Linked DNA regions of Arabidopsis thaliana. The protein of the gene in region 1 interacts with the protein of each later gene in a pairwise test. Each region holds a gene or a part of one and is shown on either strand. Other genes may lie near its edges.

Region 1 (5,230 bases):
AAGGCATCTTCGTGTTTTTATTTTATTTTTCCTTCGTTATACTGAAAAAGTCATTCTTCATTTTTCACCTTAAGATTCTGTCTCCTCTCTGATAACAACGGACCAGCAGTTATAGTATATGGAGTACTTAAATTCGTTTAATTACACAAATTAAAACCCAAATATTCGTCGTTTTTTTCTTCTGTTATCAAATTCTTAATCCTGTTAATGACGATCGTATCACTATAAGCCAATATTAATGACTATGGTTTTAAGTTCTTGACAAAGTTTTTTTTTACTAAATTCGCCACAGACAAAAACTGTTCTGACAAAAATAACAGACAAACTAAAATGAAAAAAAAGGTTAGCATATTTAATTGCCAGGTTTCTAACTGTTCTTCTGTTGTCGTTTTAAATCATTTCAGCTTATGTTTTTGTCCTTTAAAATTCAGTCATCACCGATTGTAACAGGTTTTGTCTTAATATGTATAATCAATATCTGTTAAGTGGATTGGATGCTTTGTAATTTGCGCGGGGAATCTTTACGTGTCTTAACGATAACAAATACTGTACTATCAAATAGGTGCATGCGATGATGGACATAAGTCGTATTTTAACCTATTTTGTTGTGTGAACAGATTAGTTATTGCATGTTTTGTATTAACTATATATAGGAATACGGCTCTGAATCTTTGTTTCTTCTTATTCGATTTTGATATATGAAAATTCCAAAAAGTACATGTACCAGTACGATGAAAACGACTGTGTTATGTGAAAGTATTTGTTTTTAAAAAAAAAAATATTTAGAGGGGATCAATTCTAGATACTTTTTTCATTTTTAAGGTTTAACTATGGTTAAAAAGAAACGATTCTTTTTTAAAAGGGTAGATGGTAGACCTCATTTGCTAATTTTGATCCACATAAGTCAATAACAAATAATTCGGCTCGCTTGCGAAGCTAATGCATGAGCCACGTGTTTTGCTTTATATTTGGCTTTCTGTATTGAGACATTCTTCTTCATCCTAATTGTGAATGGAATATGTTGGACCCAACGAAGCCATCAAACATGGTTAAAACACACAAACATGTGATTTAATCTAGTTTAATTTCGTCTATTACAATATAAGTGAATTTTGACACACATCCTTGGATTATATCTAAAACGTTAAGTTTGTTAAAAACACTTTGGACCGGATAATGGGTATTGATCATTTATTGTTTGTTGCATGTTGGGTTAGAAATTAGAGATCATAACAAAAATCATGATTTCAGGCTGTCCATTTTGAAAAATGTGTGTGTTTGTGTTAATTTGAATACACCGATTCATCCAAAAACCATCTGAACAGTCTCTTAATTAGTTTACCGTGTATATATATCATATTTATGGGATCATATTTGGTTAAGTTTAACTAGTAGTTTCAAATTTCGCGTTAATAGCTATTTGAAAGGGTAGGAGTACTTTTTCGACCGGTTAACACTCCCATATAAAGCCCATAAATTATTGGAACGCTACAAAATTAACAAAACATCTCTTCAGAAGTTCGTCCGGTTTACTCTACTACAAAGTACATGTATCAAAAACGACAACACGTGCTTCCACAAAATTAAGAACCAGGACGTGATGTCGTTGTTGTAATACTTTTTTCTCGCCAACTTCACGCCGTCTTAGTTTACCGAAACCAAAGTGGCTTTTTCTGATTTTATCCAATACAATGACGTGGAAAGACTCAAAAGAAGCTTTCGCCACGTTCCACCAATGAATGTTCGACACGTATCGTCGAGTTTCTTTTTCTTTATGCTTACGTCATCGCACACGTCTATCTTCTTTTGGTTAAAGTGATAAAAAGGAAAGTCGTAAATGGCTTCGTCACTGAGTCTTTCCTACTATTTTAACCCCATTAGTGACACTCCTTTCTTCTCCACTACACTCCATTTCTCTTTCTTCTTGACTCGACCATCGTTTCTCTAATCTCCGCAACTATGGCTTCATTTACGAAAACGGTGTGTGGGGTTTCACGATCCCGAGATCATACTTTTTTCCCTCCTCGTACGTAACGATTTTTTTTTGTGATTATTAATCCAAGGTTTTTTGGCGTCTCTTTTAGGTTTTGATCCCTATTGCGCACGGTACGGAGCCTCTAGAAGCGGTGGCGATGATTACCGTGTTGCGTCGAGGTGGTGCTGACGTGACGGTGGCGTCTGTTGAGACTCAGGTTGGCGTTGATGCTTGTCATGGCATCAAGATGGTCGCTGATACTCTTCTCTCTGATATTACCGACTCTGTTTTCGACCTTATTGTGCTCCCCGTAAGTCTCTCTGCTGATTTAACATTGTCCATTTGTTTTGTTTCTTTGTGTGTAATCTAAGAACTAAGGACAGCCAATAAGTGGATCGATCAATTATCAATTAGCTCACTTAACTAAAGTTTCGAAAGTGATGTTTATAGTTCCTACTAAGAACGATGGTTTTTAGATGTATCTGTTGCAACTTTTGTTCTCTGAAACAACTTCATAGATTCTTGTTTTCTGAAAGATTTCATAATTGTGTTGCTGATATACTTTTTGATATGATTGGGAAAAGGGAGGGCTTCCCGGTGGCGAGACTCTTAAAAACTGTAAATCTTTAGAGAACATGGTCAAGAAACAAGACTCTGATGGCCGACTTAACGCAGCTATATGTTGTGCTCCTGCCTTGGCTCTTGGTACTTGGGGTCTACTAGAAGGCAAGAAAGTAAGTCAGAAGTGATCAGTATATTTCCAAGGGCGTTTATTTATCTTTTTTTCAGGCCTTGTAATGTCTTGTTATTACATGGGGTTTCTTGCAGGCAACGGGTTACCCTGTTTTTATGGAGAAACTTGCGGCTACTTGTGCAACTGCTGTTGAGTCAAGAGTGCAAATTGATGGAAGAATAGTGACCAGTCGTGGACCAGGAACCACCATTGAATTCTCCATCACGCTTATAGAGCAGTTGTTTGGGAAAGAAAAAGCTGATGAAGTCTCCAGTATCTTGGTATGTTTTGTCTCTGCCTCTTTTATCAACCGCTGTGGTACGTGTTCATGTCACCTCCTCGTAGACTTACTTGTTATCCTTTTGAAATCAGCTGCTTCGTCCTAACCCTGGTGAGGAGTTTACTTTTACTGAGCTTAACCAAACAAACTGGTCATTTGAAGATACACCACAGGTAAATGTTCAGTTGCCTCTCCACTTGGCCCTTTTAACATTTTTCCAAGACAGGCTTTGTTTGATCCGTTATACAGATTCCTAGGAACATGCTGTGTTGTAAAGCTTTTGTCTTTCTTGATCAATAGTCTTTTATGAGTCAGAGAGATAATGTTTTCCCTTTTCAGATTCTCGTACCCATTGCAGAGGAGTCAGAGGAAATTGAAGCTATAGCGCTTGTAGATATCCTGAGGCGGGCAAAAGCAAATGTAGTGATTGCTGCAGTTGGTAACAGTTTGGAAGTTGAAGGATCTCGCAAAGCTAAGCTAGTAGCAGAAGTTCTTCTTGATGAGGTTGCAGAGAAGTCGTTTGATCTGATTGTGTTACCTGTGAGTATTGCTAACTTCCAAAATGTGAATATACTATTTAGTCTTAAATTAAATTTTAATATTCTATGATGACAAATAACCAAAAACATAATCCAACTTCTTTGATGAACTACAGGGCGGTCTTAACGGTGCTCAAAGATTCGCAAGCTGCGAGAAGCTAGTTAATATGTTAAGGAAACAGGCAGAAGCAAACAAACCATATGGAGGAATCTGCGCATCGCCTGCTTACGTCTTCGAGCCTAATGGTTTACTCAAGGTGCATAAATCAAACAGTACTAGAATTGTAGTTTCTTGTTCTATCTTTTAAGTCATTAAACTGAGATATAAGAGACATGTTTTGTATAGGGTAAGAAGGCTACTACTCACCCAGTGGTGAGCGACAAACTTTCGGACAAGAGTCACATTGAGCACAGAGTCGTGGTAGATGGAAATGTCATAACAAGCAGAGCTCCAGGGACTGCAATGGAGTTTTCACTTGCCATTGTCGAAAAGTTTTACGGGCGAGAGAAAGCTCTTCAGCTCGGAAAGGCAACACTTGTGTGATTTCAAACAATGAAAGTATGAGAGTGGCTTGAATAAAAAGAAGGCTTTGCCTTTTAGTTATCTCTCTCCATTAGTAATTACTTACTTTATGATATATGACATATGAGCTTGGCTTAGTGATTGGTGTGTAACTTTATGCCTTTATAAATGAATAAACGAGATTTTTCTATGTATGTTGCCGATATTTTCTTTAAACCTCTGCAAGAGCTAGAGGGTGTGCTGGAGAAAAAAATTATTTTATGGAGAAAGATATTTTAGTCACACATTTTCACCAAATTGACCTTACAATAACTCTAAAATACGAATTTGCCCCTATGTTTAGCTTTGGAATATTTCATATTTGTAAACCATTTAATAATATGATTATTACCAATTTAGTGAAAATAAAATCTTCAGTCTTCTCTTCTTGTATAAAAATAGCTTTTTTATCATTTGAAAACAGAGTAATGTCACTAATTTCTTGGCGAAAATGTGTTTATTTGTAACTTAAGGTAAAATAGGGGCAATTTTGTTGAATCTGATAAGATCAGGGGGTAGTACCGTAGATTTCGCTGTCCAGTTCAGTTATGAAATACCTAAAATGCCCTCGACTCATAATCTACTATTAAACCCTCATAAAACCCTTGATTTCATTTCTAGCTCATCTGTTTTCACACTCTCTCCTAGGGTTTTATCTGCGAAGCCCAATCTAGAGCTTCCATGGCGACGCATACCATTTCTCGATCCATTCTTTGCCGACCGGCGAAATCTCTTTCGTTTCTGTTCACGCGATCCTTTGCTTCATCTGCTCCTCTCGCCAAATCTCCGGCGTCTTCTCTGCTCAGCCGGTCCCGTCCTCTGGTCGCCGCTTTTTCCTCCGTTTTCCGTGGCGGCCTTGTGTCTGTCAAAGGTCTCTCGACGCAGGCTACATCGTCTTCTCTGAACGACCCGAATCCCAACTGGTCGAACAGGCCACCTAAGGAGACGATCCTGCTCGATGGTTGCGATTTCGAGCACTGGCTTGTCGTCGTGGAGCCACCTCAGGGTGAGCCTACTAGAGATGAAATCATTGATAGCTACATCAAAACCCTAGCTCAGATTGTTGGCAGGTAAATCCCCAATTCAAAACTCTCTCTCTCTCTCTCTCTCTCTGTGTATGTTCTTCTAGGGATTTTAGGTT
Region 2 (4,888 bases), on another chromosome or scaffold:
AACAAAAGGGCGAAATAAAACGACGACGTTTACGAGGAGCGACTCCTCGGGATCCGGTAGCCAATAGTAAACTCAGATCACATAGATCTTCCCGAGCCCTAGCGATTTCGATTTCTAAAGCAGATTCTAAAGACAAAAATCAGGAAACTCGAGGAAGAGGAACCTAGTTTCGAAACAAAAACAAAAACCAGAGAAGAAGATGATCAACGAGAATGATGAAATCGGAAGGAAACCTTACCGTCTCTCCGACGAAGAACTAACGGAACGGAGCTTGAGATTGAGCGACGAAGAAGCAGCGATCGAGAGAAAGAGAGAAGTGCAAAAACTAATCTTAGTGAAGGCCAAGTATGGAAATGTATTAATGTGTTCAAACACATTAAAATTGAATTTTTTTTTAAGAAAAAGTATGGTACTGAGATTCAGAGATGGTGAATATCTGTTGTACCTAACAGCAATTTAGTAAACTATAATTTCTGACGACTATTTTTCGATACTTTTGTAACAATTATCGTAAAAAACAAAAAATTAAGTGAGATTACATTCGACGTTAGATGCCAGAAATAATATATATATGTGATTGTGAATATGTACCTTTTTTTCTTTTTTCAATGAGTGTAATATGAATGCTTTGAGAGGATTACACGCGTGATTCTGATTCGGATCACCAACTTCTTTTGCTTCCCTTTTAATTTCTTTCCTATCTTTTGCTTTTCCCATTCATCTCTCTCGCTTTCCACAAAGGCGAGATTTGAATACGTAATCCTAATTATACTCTCATAGAGATTTGGTAATTTGGCCCAAAATATCTTTCTACTTTGTAATATGTCGATGCATAGAAAACATAATCTTATTCTAACATTCACAAATCTCCTATATTTCCATATTGAATCTCTCAGTCTGGATCGGTTTGTAATCTCTGTCCAGCTACCTCTTACGTTTCAGGTGTTTCTATGATTTATCCATTGGCTTCATTGGCTGCCTATAACTTATATATCATGTTGCAATCTTTGTGTGTGTTGTGTTGGGGAGAGCTTATAGCCGGCCGCTCCTCCATTAGCTTCCAAATGGTTGAATCAGTCTGTATCAGATTTAAACTCAGTGATAGCACCCACGTTATGCATGATTTTTAAGATTTGATAAGCAGACTGTTTTTAACTTCAATTCAAGAGCATCATCCACTTTCGGCTTAATATCCTATATTAATTTCTTTAACAAGCTAAAATGAACATAATGAAAATAACTACACTCACTGATTGGCAATTACTAATATCTCAAAACATTAAGAAGTATTTTTTTTTTTTTTGGGTGAAAAGTCACTGTCTTTTTCTTAAAGCCAAAATTTATACGGAACGACAAAACAAAAAATATGACTAAAAACTTCTTAAGCGCAATCACTGACCATGCAGCCTATTTTAGTTTTTAAGTCTTTTATATACATTGGCTGTTATAGTCGTAAAACAATCAGGTATTTGTTATGGAGATAACAATTTGGGAACGCATAAATAGTGCCTCTGATGGTTGGAAGTGGAACAAAATCACAATATTTTTTTCTAGTGTATAAACAACATACAAATATCATGTCACCTGCAAAGAGAATAATATGCCAAAATTTTGATATAATACGCATAACAGAGTTTATATATCAACGTTCTAGACTTATAGGTGATCATCCATTATCTTTAACCTCTTGTAGCTAGCTAGGTTAATTAGGAGATGCATGCATCTAGATAGGCATATATAGTCTAACATTACAAATCCATCAAAGGTTCCCTTCTTCTTCTCCAAAGAAATTAGCTACATACAAATTTGACAGACTCTCATAAATATATATATATATGTTTATAGATTATATTATTAAAAATACAAATGATATTTTCTGTATTTTGTTAAAATTAGTTCTTAAGATTTTATGAAATTTATAATTGAGCCAACGTCTTAGAAATAATTATACGACATACGTAATTTAAATTCAATGACGATGACTTAAACTTAATGTTTTACAGTATTTATCCAATCAAATTTTACCACATCAGCAGAGAAGAGTCAAACTTAGGAAAAGTCTATCTTGGATTATCCTGACGTGGCTTTTTTCAAGTAAGAAATAAATTAATGCTAATCACGTACGTACCTACCCAGCTTTTGGACCTCGTGGGCTATATAGAAAACAAGTAACCAAAGAGAGACGAAGCAAAAACATTCAGAGAGAAAATTCAGCATTTTTGATAGCTCAAGCACTTGATTCTTTCCAAAGGGGTTTCCTGAGGTATGTTTGCTTTCCTTTTTGGTTTTAATTTGTTTCAAATCTTAGATCGATTCTTCACTTTGGATTCTTAAATCGATTCTTGTCCTCGTCTGTGCTGATTTCGAACTTTTCCGATTCCAACTCCGCCGAATCTACGTATAGATCTTTGAGGAAATGTTTTTTTCGATTTATGATCGGCGGATCTACCGATTCCTTTGCTTGTTTTCTTTGGATGTATCACACTCTTCTGAAGATGCCTTGACCTTTTTATGTGAACTAGTAAGAGTTATTATGGCTTAGATCGTTGAATATCTGGTATATGTGTTCTTATAATGGGATTAGGATCTATGTTTTGGTGCGTATTAAAGCTTAGTTGAGATTGATGTTTTTGGGTTTTCAAATTCTGTTTCTTGTCTGTTGAGCTAATTTAATGTTGTGTAGAACCATTTGTTTTTTTCTGGATCTTTACTTATTTGTATATGTATTGGTTTATGTTTATGTTTTTACAGATCACAAAGGCCAAGTAACAATGGCGAAAGGAGTTGCAGTTTTGAACAGCAGTGAGGGTGTTACGGGGACTATCTTTTTCACCCAGGAAGGCGATGGTAGTTCTTTATAAGAGTGCTTTATAAGATCTTTGAAGCCTATCTTTTTTTTCCTTCCTCTCAAATGATTGAGTTCTTTGTTTGGGTTTTTTGCAGGTGTGACCACTGTGAGTGGAACAGTTTCTGGCCTTAAGCCTGGTCTTCATGGTTTCCATGTCCATGCTCTTGGTGACACCACTAACGGTTGCATGTCTACTGGTAACTCTTATGCATACCTCTCTGCAAATTTTCAATGGATTAGAAACTTTTGGAGCTTATATTTATGTTTCGTATTGGGAACTTTAATTATCGCCAAAAGTAACTGAACTTGTTATTAAATTCCTATTTTAGGTCCACATTTCAACCCCGATGGTAAAACACACGGTGCCCCTGAGGATGCTAATCGACATGCTGGTGATCTAGGAAACATCACTGTTGGAGATGATGGTATGCCTTCTCAACATTTGTATCCCTCATCTCAAGCTTATTTAGAGCTGTTTTGCATCAAATTTCGCTACTCTCTCAAATTTGATTTTGCAGTCTTAGTTGTATAGTACAGTTGTCACCTTTGACCAGCGGTAGTGTTCATGGATTTACATAAAAGCTTTTGTTTTGCTTTTCTCAGGAACTGCCACCTTCACAATCACTGATTGCCAGGTTTATAGCTGTGTACCTTTTTATGCTTTTTTCCTAATCCAAACCTGCTGTAGTGAACCAATCTCTTAAGATACATTTTGTGTTGGCTTAACAGATTCCTCTTACTGGACCAAACTCTATTGTTGGTAGGGCTGTTGTTGTCCATGCAGACCCTGATGACCTCGGAAAGGGTAATGACCTTTGACCATTTATTTTCTTGAGATTTTATTTACCCATATTATGCTAACAGAATTTAAAAGTTAGCCAGTCCGTTTGAGGGCATCCAATGTAGAATGCTTATGATTCAACATCCATCCTAAGAACAGTTTATAACCTAGTGTCATTGGTGTTTTACATTTCAGGAGGCCATGAACTCAGCCTGGCTACTGGAAACGCAGGCGGCCGTGTTGCTTGCGGTAAGTAAAACAAAATTACATTTTTCTCACATCTCCTGTGAAAACCATGTATATTCTATTTAATCTTGATCATTACCATCATTGTCACCTTAGACTCCATTGATTCTCTGGTAACTCGGGGTTCATCTTGGTTTATCTATTGACTATTATTATCTTGCATTTTGGGGGTCCAACTGAATGGTAAAATTATCAAACTGATTGACCTTTTGTCTATGACTTCGCAGGCATCATTGGTCTCCAGGGCTAAAGCTGCTACGTTTCCAAAGAAGAGATTGATGTAATAAGGAGGTCCAACCTTAGACCTGGGTTTGGTAGTTGTGTGTATCTTCTGGTGTGTGGCTAAAAACCTATGAGCTTAGTGTGGCTCAAAGCATTTTTAATTCAGACAGAAAACAGAGAAAATTCCGTACTTTTATTATTTCATGAATAAAAAAGAGTTGATTTACTGTTATAAGTTCTTAAAGGTAACAAGAGTCCTGGATATGGTACTTCAATATGCGAATGTTTTTACAAACACAAACTTCTTTGTTCGTTCAAAATCTACTGTCATAACGTTAACTGAGCTAACCTTCAAATGAAACTTCTCCATCATTACAATATCTCCGCTTTTCTGTTACATGTCATTATGCAAGTGATTCATGCTCTCCTGATTTCTTTCTTATCAACAAATTCAGACTCGGAAAGTAAATCGATTATACATTATCATTCCTTTTGGACAAAAATGGAGATACAAGTTAAAATTGTGATATTTGAAACGTTTCTTGATGAGTTGTTATGGTTTTAAATCTCCCGGCAACAGATTCAAGATACCTGACTGCTCCTTAACCTTGTTTAGAAGAAGCATCAGAAGTGGAACTCTTGAGAGTGTTCTTTGTGATCCCACCATTATCAGCTTTTTCTGTCAAACCCAAACAAATTTCAATCAATGATCGATGGAATAAACAACATTACTCAACACCACATCAGTTGTTCTCTCAGTCTCACCTTTGCTCGTGTCAAAGCAACGTTGA

What was found.
Region 2: the proteins of DJ1A (region 1) and CSD1 interact in a protein complementation assay, tested with the Arabidopsis thaliana proteins (one study listed by BioGRID).

What each region holds. Positions count from the first base shown.
Region 1 is NC_003074.8:5,045,551-5,050,780, forward strand, and holds DJ1A (Class I glutamine amidotransferase-like superfamily protein), read left to right. Parts: upstream 1-1,825; 5' UTR 1,826-1,959; coding exon 1,960-1,980; exon of another isoform or gene 1,981-1,982; intron 1,983-2,038; exon of another isoform or gene 2,039-2,084; coding exon 2,085-2,285; intron 2,286-2,559; coding exon 2,560-2,709; intron 2,710-2,803; coding exon 2,804-2,989; intron 2,990-3,080; coding exon 3,081-3,161; intron 3,162-3,327; coding exon 3,328-3,528; intron 3,529-3,643; coding exon 3,644-3,784; intron 3,785-3,873; coding exon 3,874-4,071; 3' UTR 4,072-4,421; downstream 4,422-5,230. Other genes in the region: RIP1 (cobalt ion binding protein), read left to right, coding at 4,771-5,159. UniProt on the Arabidopsis thaliana protein: Involved in oxidative stress response. Confers protection against diverse stresses by binding both CSD1 and GPX2 and mediating the cytosolic activation of the Cu-Zn-dependent superoxide dismutase activity of CSD1.
Region 2 is NC_003070.9:2,824,929-2,829,816, forward strand, and holds CSD1 (copper/zinc superoxide dismutase 1), read left to right. Parts: upstream 1-2,131; 5' UTR 2,132-2,263; intron 2,264-2,751; 5' UTR 2,752-2,771; coding exon 2,772-2,847; intron 2,848-2,943; coding exon 2,944-3,045; intron 3,046-3,177; coding exon 3,178-3,273; intron 3,274-3,451; coding exon 3,452-3,483; intron 3,484-3,577; coding exon 3,578-3,653; intron 3,654-3,824; coding exon 3,825-3,878; intron 3,879-4,102; coding exon 4,103-4,125; 3' UTR 4,126-4,387; downstream 4,388-4,888. Other genes in the region: emb2411 (DNA replication helicase), read right to left, coding at 4,651-4,776, 4,863-4,888. UniProt on the Arabidopsis thaliana protein: Destroys radicals which are normally produced within the cells and which are toxic to biological systems.